Coturnix japonica: one gene and its partners. The main gene of each other region encodes a partner of the protein of the gene in region 3 in a complex. Links are inferred from orthologs where the notes say so. Each region holds a gene or a part of one and is shown on either strand. Other genes may lie near its edges. The genes, in order: LYRM4, ISCU and NFS1.

The links.
Region 1: the proteins of NFS1 (region 3) and LYRM4 are in contact, whole or in part, in a crystal structure (PDB 6W1D), measured with the Homo sapiens proteins. The link is inferred for Coturnix japonica from reciprocal best matches to the Homo sapiens genes NFS1 and LYRM4. Residues at the interface, in NP_066923.3 of Homo sapiens: Leu56, Arg57, Pro58, Leu59, Pro68, Leu69, Pro71, Arg72, Leu74, Asp75, Leu78, Glu314, Tyr317, Arg321, Asp372, Arg412, Phe413, Thr414, Thr415, Glu417, Glu418, Tyr421; in NP_065141.3 of Homo sapiens: Phe23, Tyr26, Asn27, Tyr28, Thr30, Tyr31, Arg34, Arg35, Asp38, Val65, Arg68, Gln69, Ile72, Thr78, Asp79, Lys80, Leu81, Ile82, Ile83, Asn85.
Region 2: the proteins of NFS1 (region 3) and ISCU are in contact, whole or in part, in a crystal structure (PDB 6W1D), measured with the Homo sapiens proteins. The link is inferred for Coturnix japonica from reciprocal best matches to the Homo sapiens genes NFS1 and ISCU. Residues at the interface, in NP_066923.3 of Homo sapiens: Tyr360, Val361, Glu362, Glu364, Ser365, Leu367, Met368, Ala369, Lys371, Glu399, Asp400, His403, Ser404, His429, Arg432, Leu433, Glu435, Met436, Ser437, Pro438, Leu439, Glu441, Met442, Trp454, Thr455; in NP_998760.1 of Homo sapiens: Tyr35, Val40, His42, Tyr43, Glu44, Val49, Gly50, Ser51, Leu63, Val64, Gly65, Ala66, Pro67, Ala68, Cys69, Gly70, Val72, Lys74, Phe90, Lys91, Thr92, Phe93, Gly94, Cys95, Gly96, Ile99, Lys135.

What each region holds. Positions count from the first base shown.
Region 1 is NC_029517.1:63,952,541-63,959,182, forward strand, and holds the start of LYRM4 (LYR motif-containing protein 4), read right to left. Parts: upstream 3,843-6,642; 5' UTR 3,826-3,842; coding exon 3,722-3,825; intron 1-3,721.
Region 2 is NC_029530.1:5,667,256-5,673,897, reverse strand, and holds ISCU (iron-sulfur cluster assembly enzyme ISCU, mitochondrial), read right to left. Parts: upstream 4,090-6,642; 5' UTR 4,078-4,089; coding exon 3,991-4,077; intron 3,915-3,990; coding exon 3,801-3,914; intron 3,468-3,800; coding exon 3,357-3,467; intron 2,635-3,356; coding exon 2,556-2,634; intron 2,340-2,555; coding exon 2,248-2,339; 3' UTR 1,797-2,247; downstream 1-1,796. Other genes in the region: SART3 (squamous cell carcinoma antigen recognized by T-cells 3), read left to right, coding at 4,387-4,554, 5,793-5,919, 6,506-6,610.
Region 3 is NC_029535.1:929,129-935,670, reverse strand, and holds part of NFS1 (cysteine desulfurase, mitochondrial), read right to left. Parts: intron 5,490-6,542; coding exon 5,332-5,489; intron 4,385-5,331; coding exon 4,279-4,384; intron 4,099-4,278; coding exon 4,017-4,098; intron 2,695-4,016; coding exon 2,611-2,694; intron 2,486-2,610; coding exon 2,396-2,485; intron 1,767-2,395; coding exon 1,703-1,766; 3' UTR 1-1,702.

The DNA of each region.
Region 1 (6,642 bases), on a different chromosome or scaffold from region 3:
CTAAGTTGATCAGCACATTTGGTAACTGAGTAAGAATTTAAATGAGGTAGCACGCCTACATACATATACACATATACACGCCTACGTACACATACATACATACGCCTACATACATTTGTCTACATACATACACACATAAATACGTCTACATATATATACATGTGTGTATATGTATATACGTATTTATATATACATGTATACACACATATGTATAAGTATATATACACATACATATGTATATATACATGTATATGTATATATATATGTATATGTATATATATATGTATACACACACATACATATATATACCCACACACACATATACACACACGCACTTACTGTAGGTCACTAAGAGTTACTAGACCTTTAGATACAGAACACCTAGATGGCCATGCCAATCTCAACAGTGCTGACAACAAGAGATTTTTTTCCTATCCAATGGGATTTATGGGCTTATTAGCTCACTGTCACTAACTAAAAGAAATTAAAAAAACACTGTTTACATTTAATTTATATATGGAGTCTACTGCAAAACCACAGAAATCCAACTCATGTTTCAGAAGTGCAGCTCTAATATCTAAAAGCATTTTAAGATCATGCTCTGCCCTACATAGTAAAAGCCCTGAGTGCTTACTTACTGTGTTTTCATTCAAAATAGGAACAAACAAACCATCCAACCATATTGATCCTTATTTGCAATCAGTTGTTTTAACAGTTGTAACACTGTTACATGATGGAAACAGCAGCAATGACAGCAGAGCAGCAAAGTCCTAGGCCACAGCAAGTGGGGACCTGCTCAAATGCAAAAGCTCTAGACACAGAAATAAAGGAAAGAATCCGACTACTTTTGGAAGGCCTCAGGTAAACAGGGATCTCTAGCAAAAAATCCTTACTTCCACTGCCAACCCTTAAATGAGATCTGGGAAGGATTAGCTCATACCTGAGCTCCCCTGGGTTGGCCCTGCCTTCCCACCAGGTGCTCAGTCACTGCTTCAAGCCATGACTTAGCATCCCCACTAAAAACACATTTCACGAGTTGTATATATATATATTTAATGCCGAACAAAAGCATTTTAAAACAAATCTAAATAGAATTTCATTTGTCATTTAAATAGCAGAGGCCACCTCCTCCTGAGATCGTAACCTATCACACTACAAACTATCAGAGGATCTCCTTTTTGTCAAACATACCAAAAAAAGGATACCCTCATTACGAACTACCTTTCTTGACTGAAAACTTGACACCTTTCCTCTTCATATATTGATTTTCCAGGAGTACAAATCAAGTTCCTTTCTTCAGATTGTCTGTAAGGTTGATAGAGCAGAATGGCAGACATGAAATTACTTACTGTCTGCTAAGTTCTCCCCTGATGTTAAAATCTGGCAGCACACCTGGGCTGCAGAAGTCTCCTTAACACTTAGTGCAGGACTCCAGAGACAACCCTGTGTGCTGTTACTCTCAGACAGTCAGCGGTGACCTCTGTTTTTTAAAGGTTTTAACGCTGTTCTTCACAGTTACAGCACTAAAAGTTCTGCTGGGCGGCAGAATAAAATGTATTACATGAATTACTAGAATGCTTACAGAGCAAAAATACTCAATTTTACATCACAATCTACCCATACACTTAAGAGAAAAAGCACAGAAAGCAAACATGGAGACAACGACCAGCGGACCATCCTTCAGATGCACACTTATGCACTGCTTGCAACAGCATTCTGAATTTCTGCAGCTGCAAACATGAATCACTATGATTTATCTTATTTCTTCACAACAAACTAGTTGTATACAAAGTCACTGCCATGCCCTGGAAGAAATTTAATATCACATTACAGCAGCCACAAGGACGCAGGAGAACTGCTTATCAGGGCAGGGAAGCAGCTCACACGGTGCCCATGTTAGCGGTGCATGGAGTGTAAAGAAACAGCAATGCAGGATGGCTGTTGTGTTCGTGGCAGATCTCTAGGTGTAACAGCTGCCTACTGCTTCTTGCTAGAAACTGCTATTGCATTTGGTGTTCATAAACTCTCTTAGAGAGGCATACTTTTGGTATAAAGTAGTAAATGACCTCTAAGCAAAAGCACCTGGGCGAGAAGCAGGCACTTGTCCCAACTGTCCCTGGGCTCTCTCTGCCTACCCAGTACTCAGCCCTGGGCTGCAGCTCCCAGACTGGGCTCTCCCTTAACTATTAAAAGAGCATCCAAAGGAGGGCTACAAAGGTGGATAAGAGTCCACAGGGCAAGATGTAGGTGGAGCAGCTGGGATCCCTGGGTTTGATCAGCCCACAGCAGAGGAGCTGAGGCCTCATGGTGACAGCAGCTCCTCACAGGGAGCAGAGGGGTAGCATTGAGCTCTGCTCTGTGTGACAGCAATGGGGCCCGAGGGAACAGCATGGAGTTGTGCCAGGGGAGGGGCAGCTGGGGGTCAGGGACAGGGTCTGCACCAGAGGGCAGTGGGCACAGACCCAAGCTGCCAGAGCTCAAGGAGCATTTGGACAATGCTCTCAAACACAGGGTTTGAATTTCAGGTGGTCCTATGAGAAGCAGGACTGAATAATGCTTGTAGGTTCCTTCCAACTCAGGATATTCTATGATTTTACACGTTCACTGGTTTTATAGTATCTAAGGAAAGGTCTATATATAAAACTGAGATCTTTTCTTAAGGAAAGTGAAAGCATGCACCCCAACACAGCACCAAGAAATAGCTAATACCCAAGGTAAACATGTACCTTCTGATTTCCAAGCTGCAAAATTTGTTAGCATAAAAACACTCACTAGTCCACCTGATGCTGTATGATGGCCAGTTTTTAACCATAAGCCAAAACATCCACATGGTTTAGACCCCTCAGACACATATCTCTCTGTAGGGAGAACCTAAGCTCTGGGTATAGCTTACAGAAGAGGAGAGAACCTAATAGTTCCTTAAATCCACAACTTCTGCACTGATAACCCCAGCTGGAAATAATGTAATTCAGATTAGGAGCTGCGCACCACCACTCACAGCCTCATGCCATCCCTGTTGCATTCAGACATCCTTGCTGCTCAACATAATACTAAGCACTTGGGGCAGGAAGAAGGCTCAATAGTAGGAGAGCTAAGGCAGAAAGAGGGGAACTTGAGGAGTTAGCAATAAGGGCTTAGGAGTTCCAGCACTTCAGGCTTCCTGTCAGGGCACTCTGACACAGGAAATAACACATATTCCTTAAGGGTCACAGAACTTGCTGTGGTTATGCCAGTTCAAAACCTTCTGTTTCCAGCTCAGCAGTTCTTGCAGGCCTGGAGATGATTCACAGCGAAGGTATCTCACGTGCCTCCGTGGTACCACAGAGTGGTAAGCAGCCTTGCCAGGGGGCAAGGCAGCAGGGACCCGCACACAGCTAGGCCTGTGCCTGCAGCAGCCGGCTGCCCTTTACTAAAAGCACTGTCCAGAGCAGACAGTCAGTCAAGCAGCCATGCTACACGGCACCATATGCAGCCCTGCTCCCTCACACTGCACCCAAACTGCATCGTGTGAGCCAGGAACTCCTCCAGCACAGGCTCAGCCCGCAGCATTCAGACAGCCGACAGAGCAGCTCCCTGCAGTCAGCTTCAGCCCTTCGCTTGCCCCTTCGCAAGGTGCCCCGAGCCACCCATGTCCTCCAGCTACAAACGTGCACAGGGAGCGAAGAGAAAACGTCCTGAACCCTCCTCACCCCGAGACTCCCCGTTATTCCCCCTTCCCGACCTCCACGAGGAGCAGCACCTGTAATTGTAGCCGCTGAATCGCTGGCTCTCTCTCAGCAGAGCACGGTACAGCCGCAGCACCTGGGCCCGGCTGGACGCTGCCATGTTGCCGGCTCAAAGCGGCTCCTCCCGCCCGGGCCCTTTTCCCCGCCCGCGGCGCCCGGAGCCGCCTCCTGAACCCGGCCTTCAATGCGCGGCGCCCGGCGACACGACGCGGTGAGTGGCGGTCTGGCCTGCGAGGAGTTAAGCCTTGAGCCTTAGGGCTGGCCTATGCTGCTGGGTGGGGAAGATGCCGACGGCCTAGGCCCGGTGAGGCGGCCCCGAGTTGGGCGGTGGGGTGTTTTTGTGCTGGTGCAGCGTGGATCTCGGTTGTACGTGCGGCTTTTGCGTTGTTGTGTGAGTTTGAGGCCTTAAAGGTGCGTGGAGGAAGCAGGCGTTGAGTGTAAATAACGCGGAGGGAGAGGGGTGAATGCTGTGCGAAGTTGAACGGTGTAAGGTTGGGGTTGGGGTCGGGCCTGGAAGTAAGCAGCAGGTGAATAACGTTGGGTCGTTGATCTGTATTTTCTAAGCACGTTTTCAGTCATAGAGGCTGAATGCACCATGGGCTTTGCCTGCTGCTGCCCGGTGCTGTGAGCACCAGGCAGCACTTCTGTGTTTTGTGCTGACGAGCACTTGCACAGGCTGCCCAGAGGCTGTTAATCTCCTCCTTGGAAGCTGCCTGAGTAAGGAGCCCGATTCCCCTGCTCTGGGCACCCTGCTGCAGCTGGGATTGGGTCAGATGGACCACAGGGTCCTGCCAGCATCAGCCCTTCTGTTATTCTGTGCTCTGTGAATCGTTCTTCCCTTCAACACCCCATTTGGAGTTGAATTCTGTTATTAGAACCATACTTGTTTTACTCAGCTCAGATGCTGTTTGAATTAAGAAGTGAGAACTTCTGAGGGATATTAACAAGTTCTTTCCTGCCTCAGCACTTATATTTGCAAGAGGAAACCCCCATTATCATATTCCTAACTTCCTCTACAGCTGTGAGAAATGGCCATAGTGCTGCTATTGTTAATTTAATGCACAGGCCCACGTGTGTTAGAACAGGCCTTGGAGAGGGCAGTCCCCAGGCAGCAGCCTATATACACACTGCCTTGGTATTACACAGTCCCAGAGAACAACAGGTACCTGAACAGTTTTAAATAGGCTCTGCCTGTTTATTTGGATTTTATTCTCTGCAGCAAGGCTGAGACTCAAATTCTACATAATCACCTCTAATGTTTTCTATGCCTGAGGCATCCTGGTACTGTTCCTGCTGGGAACACATAGCATCCCCTTCTGATGAAAGTTTTGCCACTACAGAAGAAATTTGGCCTTGTAACTTAACATATATGTTGCCCTACCTGTGTTGACAATATTATAATATGAATTCTTTATATTCTTACTTCATGGCACATTTTGTAAATAGGATATGTTTATATTTATTCTAAGTGTGTATTTCAATTCTAAATTCTAAAAGTATTTCAATTGCTGCTAATTAAACTCATTGTATATGTATGCATGGGTATTTTATTTGTGTCAGTTGTACATGTGATGCAATTATTTCATAATAAAGAAACTAAAGTAGTTCCTAGTATAATTAATATCACTGATGTGTCTCAAATATTTTGCATGAATGCTCATGTGGTCTTTATATTAGAGAAGCCCTTTTAGGCTTCTGGAAACTGACATTTTCCACACATTCCAGATTTCTTGGGTTTTCTTTTTGTCCAAATCCAAACTAGAAATGATACAGGAAATGCTTTTTTATTTTATTTTATTATTTTTTTTAGGAAAATAGAAGCAATGGAGACATCACAATGAGCGTCATGTTGTCAAGGCCTTCCTTTTACAGTGTCTTTTACGCCAGCTTTTGGCCTTCTGGAAACACAAACAGAAAACTTTGCTGAATGCATGGTTCAAAAAACCCTGTATTTAAAGAACCTGAAGAACGCTGGGTGGAGGACTGAATCCTTGTAGCCCAAGCTATGTTGCTAGCCCAGTCTGCCATGCCAATAGTAGAATCTACATGTATTACCAGTGCTCCCCCATCCTTGTAGTTTTCAGCAGTTGGGGTGCTTAATATGTGTTAAAGCAGAACAGTTTTAATCCATAGATTTCAGCAACCCTATCCTTTGTTTTGGTCATGGGTTTCAGGCAGCTTAAAAGATGTCATGTGCAAAACGAAACCTAGCTTTGAGAGTTCAGAGAAATTATATGAAGGTATTCTGTAGGTGAGCGTGGCAATGGCTCTATCTAATCTTAGAGTAAGCTTTATTATTTTCATTAAGTAGAATATTGATAGTACAGCCATCAGCTATGGAAGATGTGGGAGTGTAATTAGGAAGAAAGCAAAAGGTATTAGGTAAATTTTGGTTGCAAGAGCACTTGGTTTAATATTTGTAAGGTAATTATAGGTGATTTAGAAATGGCTTAGGGTGTTAATCCTGTTTCTGAATGTCCTTGACAGTGATTGAGATTCTTTATTTGTTTATTTATTTATTTTATGACCATTTTTTTTAAGAAGTATAAAAACTTTTTATCATAGAATTACCCAGGTTGGAAAAGACCTTGAAGATCATCAAGTCCAACCACAGCCTAACCATAGTACCCTAACTCTAACAACCCTACACTAAATCATATCCCTGAGCACCACATCCAAATGGCTCTTAAACACATCCGAGGATGGAGATTCAACCACCTCCCTGGGGAGCCTATTCCAGTACCTAACTACCCTTTCTATAACGAAGTTCTTCCTAGTATCCAACCTAAACTTGCCCTGTCTTATCATGTTTAAAATAAGCATAATAATGTTATATAATGGTTATATGATAAAATAAGCATAATAATGTTTAAAATTTACGTTTAAAATAAGCAATAGTGTACTATCAAATGTAAAG
Region 2 (6,642 bases), on a different chromosome or scaffold from region 3:
GATGGGCAGGGGAGTAATGCTCCCTACAGCTGTGTGCTTGCTGCTGGTGACGCTCTCAGAGCCAGGGGACACTGTTATCACTTGCACAATCTGCATGCAATTCTCAGAAACCCTTATCTGGTGTCAGCCAGCACTGTGAGTGGGGAGGGCTCTGGCCTGAGATCCTCTTTGGGGAGATGCACACAGGTTTGTTTCCTGATCTCACACTGGTTTGCTTTGAGAACTCAGACACGTGCTTTGTCCTGCAGCAGGGCGTGCTAATAGAAGGCAAGTGTCTGATGTACCTGGAAGGCAGCACAACCCTGTATCCTCATGTATGGGAGTTGTTAGGCCATGGGCTGAATCATTGAGCAGCTGGTGAAGGGGTGTAGTCAGCCCTGGGAGCACAGGTGGAAGCAATTCACCTGGGTCCACCCCTCCTTAACCTCATTTAAGGGCTGGCAGCCACAAAGGAAGCATCTCTACCTGGAGATTGGCTCCTTTGTCACATTTGATGAGCCCTGATCCTTGGAAATGGGGTGAGCAATTCTTTCTTTATTACTGGATTGTGACCACTACCTTTCTTGGGTTTAAAGCAACTGTATCTGCTGTCATCTATCCTTACACCTCACATCCTTTTACCAATGTCGCTCTATGCTTTTAATATATCCCCATTACTCCAGCTGACAGCATTTTGCAGGGAAACCAAAGGATTCCCCCAAACAGGAGTGACAACAACTTAAAATAATAACTCAAAAAATAATTACATTGCAGACAGAAACCAGAACGAGCCACTTATTTTTACTGAATGTTGTTTTTAATGCAGCTGTGCAACATCATAGGTATGAAAACTGGAAAGGAAGATAGGGTGGGGCGTGGGGTGAGGATGTTATAAGAGCAAGGGAGGTTTTTAAGTGCATTTTCTTTTGATTTGAAGATCTGTGGCAACACTCCCTTGGAAAACAGCCATCGCTGTGAGGCACAGGGGAGCACAGTGGTCTAAAGAACAGAGGGTAAGCCATGCTGTGTGGCCATAAAACGCCTGTTTTGAACTGACTCTGTGCCCCACGCTCCCAAGGAGCCCAGCTCATGTGGTGGGTGGGCAAATCCTCCACTTGGTGAGTGCTACCCCTGTGCTCTCTTCATAACTCACTCCTCCAGCGAAGCAGTTTGAGCAGCTTTAGCTGTGCACACAGAGCTGCTCGGGGGAGGTATCTGCCAGGCTGTGTTTTTGAGGTTTCTTTCCACAAATGAAGAGAATCCAGCCCTAAAACTACCAAAGGCAACAACAGAAGCTATCAGAAATAGCATCCAAAATCAGCTCCAGCAGCAGGTAAGGATCCCCTTCTGCCCCTGGCTTAGTACCAAGAGCACTGGCTGCTCTCTCTGCCCTGGAAGGGATGGGGGAAGTTCAGAAGACACCCCCAGAGGGCACAGGCTGACTCCTGCTCTTCCAGGGAGGTTCCCCTCAGTATTACATCCCAGTTAAGCTATTTGCATTCTGGGTTTGAATCCTCAGCGTGTGTTTAATCTCCCTTAACAGTATTTGGCAAACTAAAGGGTTGAATGCTTTTAAAAGATGCTCCAACATTAACCCTCCTGCTATTGGAGGATGTGAACACAAACATGTCCTGCTAACGCTGCTGGCTCTGAGCTTCCTGGCAACCAACTGCAGCTGCTGTTATTTGCTCACCTCCCACAGTCAGTGCCCTCTAGTGCCTGGTGAAGCATCCCAGCTCCTCCCAGAGAGCAGCGTGACGCAGGGGATAGACAGCATGTGAGAGGTCACAGATTGTGAAACCAAACTCCAACACAGCTGCAGCCAAACCACATGAGATTTATATATACTGTATTGATTGACAAAGTGACCCACATAAAGACCAAGGCAACCAAGTTTCCCACCAAACTCTTTGTAAAACATTAGGCAAAACTATACAGAAGAAAAAAAGTGCAGCCCTTCCAATGCTGGAACAGGAGGATTCTTTCTCTCTTGAGAAGCTACCGGGGGGTTGCCCTGAAGCAGAGCAGCCCTTCACTCTCACCATTTCAAAACCAATCCTGACAGGACACAGGCTGCTGAAATACCCACGTTCCAGTCATTTAAGCACTACCAGGGTGGCTGTACACACATGACCAGTGACACGTTGTGCGTTGAGTTGTGCGTATCTTACAGCTTCTTGAGTAGTGCACAGGATTCTATTAACAGCTAGAATAATTGCACTGCAAATTGAACTGGAATGAGGACAACCTCTACAGTCTGTTTAGGAATTAGTCTGCTTTCTGCTCTGACTCTCCTTTCTTTGGATCCTGTTTCAGTTTGTAGTCAGCCAAGGCAGCCTTGATTGCATCCTCAGCCAGCACTAGGGGAGAAAAAGAGCACAAAACAATGTCATTTACAAGCACTTTAAATAACAGTGACAAGTCACTTAGAACAAAAGATGCAGTACAAGCAGAAGCAGCCAGCAATAACCACCACTGTGGGTCAGCCTTAGCTGCTATGTGTGCAAAGCTTTATTTGGAGAACGTACAAAAGCATCTGTGTTCTCAAATAACAACGTGTTTGATGCTTTACTTACTAGAGCAATGCAGTTTGACCGGAGGAAGGCAAAGTTCTTTTGCAATGTCTGTGTTCTTGATTTTCAATGCTTCATCAATCTGAAATGTATGGGTAGGGTACAGTCATCAGTCAGGCATACACATGTACATATGATGCCCACACACCACGCAGGTATTTGATACAGGTGTGCTTCAAAGCACTGGAACCAACCAAAGTCACGCTCTGAGAAGGCAGTAAAAGCTGCTGATAGTGTTCTACCATAAGAAAGGCCTTTCAATAATACCTGTTTTATTCTGCTCCTGCCAAGCAACAAATCTGCAACCTACTACAGGGAACCTCCTTTGGCAGAGGAGCTGGACTAGGTGATACTCAGAGGTCCATTTCAACCCCTGATTCTATGAAATATAAGGAATGTCTCAAAGTGTGCAGTGCTTGTTAATAAACCAGAGCATTATTTTACTGCTGACCAACTGCAGGGACTGTTCCAGGTTTGTTCTGCTGTAATATAGAAACAACCTGCTTGTCACAATGCCAAGCACACGGAGATCAGCCAATGGAAGACATTCCACTATACAAGTGCTTTCTTTATCTATTTTCGATTGCTGTGTAGCACCCAAAGCTTCTTCACAGCTTATTGGAGACTTCCAGAAAAGGCAAATATTGCTTTAAAAGTCAGGAAAGATGAAACTGCATTCTGAGCTTCTATGTGAGTGTAACACCTGGAGAGCACCTCTCTAGACCCCTGTTTCCTTCCCTGATCCCAGCAGTGGGTGTGAATATGTACCTGCTCCCCACTGTGCCCCTTAAGCCAAGCCCTTACCGTCTTCCCTTTCACCCACTCTGTTGCCAAGGAGCTGGAAGCGATGGCAGAACCACAACCGAAGGTTTTGAAGCGAGCATCAACAATGCGGCCGTTCTCATCCACTTCCACCTGTGGGAGTTATCAGAGGGGCGCTCAGTTCCACGTAGGAACCACACACAAAGGGACAGCGATAGGACAGCGAGTTTAAGGCTGGGGGTTTATCGGATTTTAGGGCCTGCAGAGGGACTTTAAGGGACAATGAGTTTAAGGCTGGGGGTCTATTGGATTTTAGGATCTGCAGAGGGGCGTAAAGGGACAGCGAGTTTAAGGCTGGGGGTCTATTGGATTTTAGGGCCTGCAGAGGGGCTTAAAGGGGGTGTGACGGAGGAATCCTATGTCACAGCCATATGGTGGCAGACACTGATGGTTGTGTCCTTACAGGGCACCCCGTGCTCCCCTCACCTGCAGCTTCATAACGTCTCCACAGGCCGGGGCTCCCACCAGGCCCGTACCCACGTTCTTTGCGTTGCGATCGAGAGAGCCCACGTTCCGCGGGTTCTCGTAGTGATCCACCACCTGCGAGAACAACGTGTCACTAACAACCCCCAACGGGCACTATGGGCTCCCCACAGCCCTACCCGGCCCCTCTCACCTTCTTGTGGTAGCCCGCCCCCCCCACCGCCGTCGCCCCCCGCCCGGGCCGCAGCAGCGCCGCCCCCGCCGCCCTCAGCGCCGCCATCTTGAGTCTGCCCGCACCTGGCAGCGGCGCTCTGCCCCAACCCTCCCGAAGGACCCCTGGAGGCCGAGGCCCTGAGGTGTCCGTGGCGCTGCCTCTGCAGCAGACTAAATTATAAGGAGTAACGGGCCGAGCTGCTCGGCTTTTCGTGGCAGTTGGACGCGGAGAAGAGCAGAACCTTGTCGGGAGAGTTTATCGTCCTTTCTTTCACCGCTTTTGGCTGGGGGGAATGTACAATATTGAGACAGGCGCGCAGTAGCCAACCCCATCGGCTGGCTGAGAGCGGCCGGCAGCGAGGCGAGCTGCAACAAGATGGCGGCGGCGGGAGCCGAGGCGGCGGTGGAGGAGGAGAAGCGTGTGGTGGAGGGAGACCCCGAGTCGGGGGGGGATTCGGAGGATGAAGGCGACTCGGATTCATCAGGAGACGGCGAGGATGAGGAGAAGGAGAACGAGGCGGAGATCCAGCGGCTGGAGGAGCAGGTGGGGCCCGGCTGTACCGTGCTTTGGTTATGGAGATCTGGAAACGCCTCCGGGCGTGATGCCTTTTAATTCGCTTTTTATTCCTCGCTTCAGGGCGAGAGAGACTCAGGGAGCAGCCCTGGTATGTTGAAAGTGAACTCAGATGGTGGTTTCCTTAGTGATCTTGAAGGAATTAAAACGCGTTTGCTGAGGAGGGCTCACTGGGTGTTAGCGCTGTGTCTGTACTTGGGGGCTCTCGGGCCTTAGGGCTGTGAGTTCAGTCTTCTGCAGAACTTTAAAGCCCAGCTTTAGTAACAGGGATCTTCTATGAAGGGCTGCAGAGGTGGTCGGGGCCTGCAGCTTCTATTTGAGGAGCCCTGAGGCTGCCCTTGAGGCAGGAGGGAAGGCTGAGGGAGCAGCACTTGTCAGGGTAGAAATCGTGAAGATGGGGCCAGGTTCTTTTCAGCCATGCCCAGCTACACGATAAGGGGCAGTGGGCACAAACTGGAACCCAGGAAGTTCTATCTGAACGTGAGAAATAACTTCTTCGCTGTGAAGTTGACAGAGCCCTGACACAAGCTGCCCAGGGAGGTGGTGGAGTTTCTTTCTTTAGAGATGCTCAGGATCCACTGGGATGCTTTCTAATGCTACCTGCTGGGGGGAGGGTTGGACTGAGGGATCCTCAGAGGACTTTGCCTTTTCCTGTCACTTACAGTTCTGTGATTCTGTGTAACTGAGCAGGGAGGTGAATGTCTGTCTGTACTTGGCCCTGGTGAAGGCAAGGCATCTTAAGTGCTGCGTTTAATTTACTCACTACAGAAGAAAGGCATCAAGGCCCTGGAGCATGTCTGGAGTAGGGCAGCAGAGCTGTAAAGGGTTTGGAGTACGAGCTATATGGGGAGAGGTTGAGGGAGCTGGGGATCACAGAATTGTAGGATGGTTCTCCACTACTCCCTGAAAAGAGGTTGTAGCAGGGTGGGAGTTGCTCTCTTCTCCCATATAACAGCGATGGGACAAGAGGCAAAGGCCTTAAGTTATACCAGGGGAGGTTCTTGTTGAGTATTGGGAATGACTGCTTCTTCAAAAGAGCAGTCAGGAATTGAGACAAGCTGTCCAGGGAGGTGGTGGGATCACCATCCCTGGAGGTGTTCAAGAACTGCAGGGATGTGACACATAGAAAACAGTGTGTAAAGTTCTGTTCTGCTGAGTATTTGCTGACTTCTGCAAGCCTTTAAAAACTTCCTTTATTTTCTTTAAAGCTTTCCATCAATGCTTTTGACTACAATTGCCACTTGGATCTGATAAAGCTGCTCCGCCAAGAGGGAGAGCTGGTGAAGCTCAGAAGAGCTCGGCAGAAGATGAGTGAACTCTTCCCACTTACTGAAGGTACAGAGCTGCTTCTCCTTGCAGCTGGTAATACTGATGAAGCATCATCAGTGTGAAATACTCTTTGTGCCAGGTTTCAGCCATGCTGTTCCAGCCTAAAGGATCAGATTGAAGCTCTGAACTCAACTTGAAGCAGGCCTTTCTTTTTATTTATAGTTAACACTGTAACAATATAAATACCTGGCAGTGGGCTTTTAGCTTTGGCAAGTGAAGGTTTCCTCTTAGGCATGTGGGAACCTGCAGCCTCTAAAGCCATCTGCTGTTTCTTGTAAAAAAGAAGGAAACTGTGCCACTCAATGCCTCTTTGCTGGCCTATGTGCATTCTCTGTGCATGGTGCTGACCAATTGCTGCTCACAGCTTCATCTCTCTTTAAATAGAAGCATACTTGCTTAGGACTAGGTTGGAGACATCAGTACCAAACTTTTCATTTAAACTAATTGTGTGTAGATGCGGGGACTTAAAATTGCTCTTTTTCTCCCCATTTTCTCTATCCCCATTTTTAAGCCTGTTATTAAAAAATAACCAAAAATGTAAAGGGAAAAGTTTTTTTCCAAGCGTTGGTGACTGTAAACTTCTTGGTTTCAGAAATCTGGCTGGACTGGTTGAAGGATGAGATAAAAATGGCTTCTGAGATCTCAGAGCGAGAGAAAGTTTATGAGCTGTTTGAGAGAGCCGTGAAGGATTACATCTGTAAGTTCTTAATGTGTGGGAGTTAAAAAAAC
Region 3 (6,542 bases):
TTATAATTACCTACAAAGACTCATAGTAGCCACGTTTAAGCCTTATCTATATTTTTGTCATCCATGAAACACAAATGACACATTCACAAACATAAAGTCCTAAAACATGCAGGGGAATTCTTAGCACATGCTTAACCCAGAAACCACACATGACCCAAAAATAAAATATAATACAAACAATGCCTCTAAAACGTAGTTACGCATATGAGAGCTTTAAAACATGGTGATGAAACATAAGGTGCCGATCAGTCGTACAATATCAAACCTGCTAAGGCTAGTAATTTCAAATAGAACCATTCAGGATTAGCTTTGCATTACAACCAAATCCGTCCTTAACAGAAAAATTAACAATTCTATAATTCAGTCCGCTCTGTGAGGCTTAGCTTCACCTTTTCCATACAGTGCTGCATCCTCGAGGTAGATACTACTCAGAACTGATGACATGCTGTCTATAATGTATACTAAATTCAGCATCCATTAACCAAGAAAATAATTTAAGAGCTGTCTGCTTATGCAACTGTTACAAAGGCACTTCGTAATACAGGGTAAAATTTCCTACTGGAAAGACCACCAAAGGTACGAAAGGAGAAATTCTGATACAAATTCATCTAATCAAACCCATTTTAACAGACACTTTTCCCCAGCATTCGCAGGGAATGGATTCCCATGGAAGCCTCTAACAGGACAAGTTAGCTCCGGCACACAAAGAAACAACTCCAGAGCCACATGTTCCCACCTACTGACAGAACAGCCAGGTTTGCCCACTGAGCAAGACTCCCAGAAGTGACAGAAGCCAATTGCCATAGGCAAAGACTACAGTAACAGCAAAGGACTCACTACAAGGGGAAAAAAAGGCAAAACTAGAACAAAACCAGAAGACCTTGTACATTATGTGCTTCCCCCCCTCCACCAATGGAGTACCAACTAAACTGGTACTGCAACTGAAGCCGGCGTGTTCTGTTCCTCCTCTCCCAGTCATTCAAGTTTTCTTTCTTCACTGAGTAGAAAAAAACAAACAGAGGGGACAGCAAAGTGCATTATAAAGGTATCCTAAATTCCGTAACACCAGACAGTGTTTGGTACAAATGCACACCGGTCTGTACAAGCAGCACATAAACACACACACACAAAGAGCAAAAAGTATTAAATTTTAGGGGGAAAAAAAAGAGTTCATAACTCCACATACAACTTAACTGTGAAGGCACGTAGCCACAGTGAGGCATCCTTTTCCTCTAGAAATGCCAAACTTCTTCCTACACAAAAAATTCTCTTGAGACATTTTAGCAGCACAAAAGCACCTGCAGCTGCAAGGCTGCCTCTAGGAGAACCTGCAGCCCAGCTACAGCTCTGTGCTGCAAACAGAACAGCTACACAGGATGTTTTATGCTGAGAACGAGCTATTTCTTACCAGGACTCCTCAGTTTTGTTTTTTACATTGCAAAATACATTTTCAAAGAGAGCACATCTCAGCATAAATTGCAGCGTATGAATATCAATGCAAAGGCTGTTATGTCATCCTGCCTTTCCCCAGCATACAGACTAGTTCAATTTTTGGCTTCTTAGGCTATTATTAGAAAAGGGAGCTTCCCATTTAAATTGCAAATGATAACAAGCTGAAATGTGCTGCATGTTTTTGTTCGGGAATGTACAGAAAATACATCTTAATCCACTTCAGTCTAGTCCACGGAGAGAGCTTGTTTTCTCAGTGCTGACTCCATTTAATGCTTTTGAGGTCAATTCCATCCTGCACCATTTCCCAAAGAGGACTGTAAAGAAGAAAGAAAAAAAAAATGAGTGCTATCTAAAATGCAAAGAACAACATCAGCAACAATAACCAAACAGGCGACATCACCAACTACATGACAAATTCAGGCGTATCCATCTGCCCTGCCCTGCTGGAGGTCAGTGAACTTCACACAACAAATCTCCAGTGTTGTACTCACACAAAACACAAACGGGAGAAGGCAGGTGCTCATCTCCTGCTCCCACTTTAGGCACGAAGTGCACATTTCTTAGAGGCTGAGCCCTCACAATTCACACTGCCCAGATAAGTCAGAGATCCTTCAGTTTCCCCAGAAGGAAATGAAGTGTATACATACATGCAGTAATACTATACCTGGCTTATAAACTCTGAGTTGCCATTCTCCATGCTTGCTCTACTCACATTACTTCCTCATATGGATAGGCTCTGGGAAATGGCTTGTTGACAGGTTTGTTTGCTTAAACATTTTTCACTACAGTTAAGATCAAGCCCACCACACACTCTGGCAACACTTCTTTGCATGCAGAGATACGAGCAGGTTTTTAAAGCAGACACCTTCTTTCAATTAAATCCAGTTCCACAAATGATTACCATACCTAAGAAGTCTCCAGATTCCACAAAAAGATGGCTCACCTCATTTCCCTCAGCCTCTTAACGTGCTGTATGCATTTCTGAACTGTATAATCTATTTCTTCCTCGGTAGTGAAACGACCAATGCCAAATCTAAAACAAAGGAAGAGCATTACTAACTGGAACGGTGTGCATATGGACAAGTGAAACAAACTCACCATGAATTTTCAGCAGAAAAGAAACATATCTGGAAGCAACAGGAAAATCACTCCACACACCTGATAGAGGAATGAGCCAAATCTTCATCTGCTCCAATTGCCCGCAAAACATATGAAGGCTCCAGAGAAGCTGATGTGCAAGCACTAGGGAAAGGGAAAGGGAAGAAAGGCCAATCTCACACTTAAATTCACATGCAGATGCTACACTTCACGATCTCCAACACAGAACATGTCACTTACACATCTAATATTATTAACCTTTACAATAAGGTTCCTCACCCACTTGGAAATAACTAGTGAACACAAGGAGAGAGGAGCAAGGGGAGTAGTAGCTCTGCTCCTAAAGAATGACAGGAGCAGATATGACATGGAAACGAAGGGTAAGTCAGGAGCAGGAGTAAAGAAGAGAATGCATAGATAACACTATGTATTAATACAGTACCAAACAGAAGCAGCAGTACTGCAGCCCAAGAGGCAGTTGAAGTAGAAGCTGTGTATAGAAGGTAAAAGAGCCAAGGCAGAACTACCCAGGGAAAGCAACCCATCAACAGGAACATTAAAAAGAGAGAGAAAGATTTCACAAGTTGCTGCCTGGCTGCATTACGAAGTAATAAAGAACAGGCACAGAGGAATCTGCAGCGAGATGGCCCAGGAATGGTAGAGGACACAGAACCTCCGTCCTCGAGCAGGAGGCAAAACTGGCTACGTGGTGTTACTCAATTTGAACAGGCAGCAACTTGCAGCACAAACCATAGTGCTGCTTAAAACAAGTGCATGAAGCAGAGACTCAGAACAGATCTTCATGTTAAAGGAGACTGCAAAGGCCAGTGCATGTGAAGACTTGTTCTCCTTGTTCATAATACCAACATATTTCAAATTAAGACACGCACTTCTGATTTTGTTCTCAGAGGTGAGAAAAGGAAGGCACTTCATTAACTTCATTGTAAGCACGAAGCTGGTGTTCATAGCAGAAATGTTGCTCCTGTAGAGTCAATACAGCTCTCTAAGAGTGCAATGAGTTTCCTTTCTGCTTTTACATTAAATACAGACTCTATTAACTAAGGTAAATTCCAATATCGGTCCAGCCGCAGTGGATACTCGTCATGATCTGCCACATGTGTGAAATGCTGCTGAAGGACAGAAGCCCCAATGGTGGCAGCCTTTAGAATGAATGTCACAACCAGTTACGATTTAAGTCTACCCAGACAACACAAAACGAGTCTGCAAAGCTGGCAGGTGGGAATTTCTAATTTTTTTGCTTTCAGGATGAGTAAATTTGACCTTCAGTAGAAACGTGTTGCTTCACATAAACACCACCCCAGAATGCAGCCAATGCCAGGCTGACTCACCAACCAACCCAGCAAACACCGGGCACAGAGCAGATCCCTCCTTACTTTGTAAGTCTATTAGCAGACGTTATTTTCTCTCCAAAATATGCTGCTCCCCTTCCCACACATCCCACCTACCTTCCTGAAGACAGAGCCACATCTTTCAGGGCCATGAGAAGACTCTCCCCTTCCACATACGCAAAAGATAAATTGACACATCCTACAAAAAATAAATGAAATAGAAAGAAGAACTCCCATCAAATGAAATGCACAAGAAACCCCACGCCACATGGCAGCACTCACACCACGGTTAACTACAGCGCATCACTCAGCCATGACCATCAATACCACAAAATACACAAAAATGTTTCTAGCAGGGTCAGGATTCTTCCAGCACTACCTGGATAACGATGCTCTCTGTCTCCATTCATAACCACATCAGGAACTTCGCTCATTATTTTCGTAACAAGCCGTTCTGCCAGTTGTGAGATTCGCTTATGGTCATACTGGCAAAGAAACCAAGAAAGAGATCAAAGAAAGCAACAGCGCAAGTCTGAGCTCACTGAACCACCCAGTGCCACCAGCTGTACATGGACTGAAGTATATGGGTGTGGTTATATGACATCTGAACCTTAAAAAGGGAACTTTAACACTCTTAATTCTACCAACACTTAAAAAAGAGAACTGCCGGGTTTTTGTGAAGGCTATTTCAACCTTCAAAACGTTACAAATAATTCAGAAAAATCCATCTACAAACAGCTCTCAGAGAAGTGCCAAGTTTTTGTGCTTCAATACAAGCCAGGCACACGACATTAAATGACTTGTCTTGCAACACAACCAAGGGCAGCTTTATGGTAGAAGCGTCCCTTGCTTGCCTAGGAGCTTTCAAAGTGTATTCCATAAAACATGGACTCACGATGAGTCACCACATGATGGCAGAGTTGTGAACTCAACCATCACGTGACTTTATAACATGTAACCTCCACAATGAGAGCTGCCCATGAGCTGAGTCTCATTCTAGACTAAAAACGATGTCACTTGCCCTAAAAAAGCAGTCAGGTATCAGCTCCAGTGCTCAGAAATGGACAGACACACACATCTGATTCATCCTTGCTTACAATAACCTGGTCACATTCTCCAAAAAAACCTTTAAAAGGAAACAACCTTTCTAATATGTTTTCTTTTTAAACGCCAGAATTCTGACAGAGCAGGAAAAGACTCCAGATGTGAGGCTCCTGCAGCACTGACCATACGAGGGCTCTTCAGCTTCCAACAAGGCTTCAGTAACCATAGGATCCCTGCCTGCCTCATAGGAAGCACCTCCACTCATGTGTCCCACTAGCAGCACATACAGCAGAACCAGCAAACAGAACGTTCTGATCAAGAACAAAACAACAACCCACCACCTACCACCAATTTCTGGCACCCGGGTCAGACGTGCTCTCCCACGTACCTCCATCTCTTCCTGTGCCACCTCACACGCAGCCCCCAGGCCCACAGCCAGCGGTGTGGGCACAGTCCCCGATCGCAGCCCTCTCTCCTGGCCTCCCCCGCTCTGCAGCGGTTCCAGCCGCACACGTGGCCGCCGGCGAACATAGATGGCACCAACCCCTGGACAACAAGGAGACAGCTGGATGCATGCAGCACACATCCACAGTTCTGCAATTATGCAAAGGGACTCCGAGATTGGGAAGCATTTGTTACCCCAGCAAACATGTACTTGGACACCTCAATGGAGAAAAACGTGTTGAACACAGATAGAAGCACAGTGCTTTCCAGAAAGCTCCCCTCCACCATCCATACAGCTCTACAGCTGCACTCCCAGAGCTCCTGACACTGGAGGAGCTCAGTTTCTCCCAGAACACTTCATCACTGGAGGGCTCTGTACTGCCCAAACTTCTGACAACCCCTGAGGAGATGAAGTTCAGCCCTCTGCTCCTTTTGTGCACAGATGTTTCATTCATTGAGGTGCCCACACTGATTTCCACCTCAACGCTGTAGAACTCCTTCCCCTGGATTAGCAGGCCAGCCACAAGTCCCACAGGGGGAGGCTCAGCCTTTGGACTTTTGTTTTTGAATACCATAGAGAATACGGCAAAGGTGACTTCTCCCTCTGTACATCCTGTGTCACAAACTACATGGACTGCAACAGTGACTGGGAGTCAGCCACAAAACCCATAGCTGGATTTTAAACCCCATACTGCAGAGATGTAGAAAGAGGGATGAGTGGGAAGAAGCCACTGGGAGTAGAAGATAACCAAAAATCACTGACTTTAAACTTTCCACTTACATTTTTATTTCCATGTTACAATTAACACTTGGACCTAAACTTAACCCCACAAATCTGAAGTATTTCAACCACTGCAGCATAAAAGCTGCTTCATACCCTTTGGAAGACCCTCAAAGAACTGCTCATCCTAACGCTACCACCATTACAAGACACCATTTCTTCCTTCGGTGAAGCCAGCTCACAACTTATAAGCACTGAAGAAGACCCAGCAGCACTGCCCGACCCACTGAAAGTCAGCCCTTACCAGGCTGAAAACAAACCACTACAGTTTAAGTAATAGCAGCATGCACCAGGACAGACAGGCTCGACTTTCTGCCTCGTGCAGTTATTTGTTTTTCATGCTTGCCTTAAAAACTCATCAGAAAAACACTTCA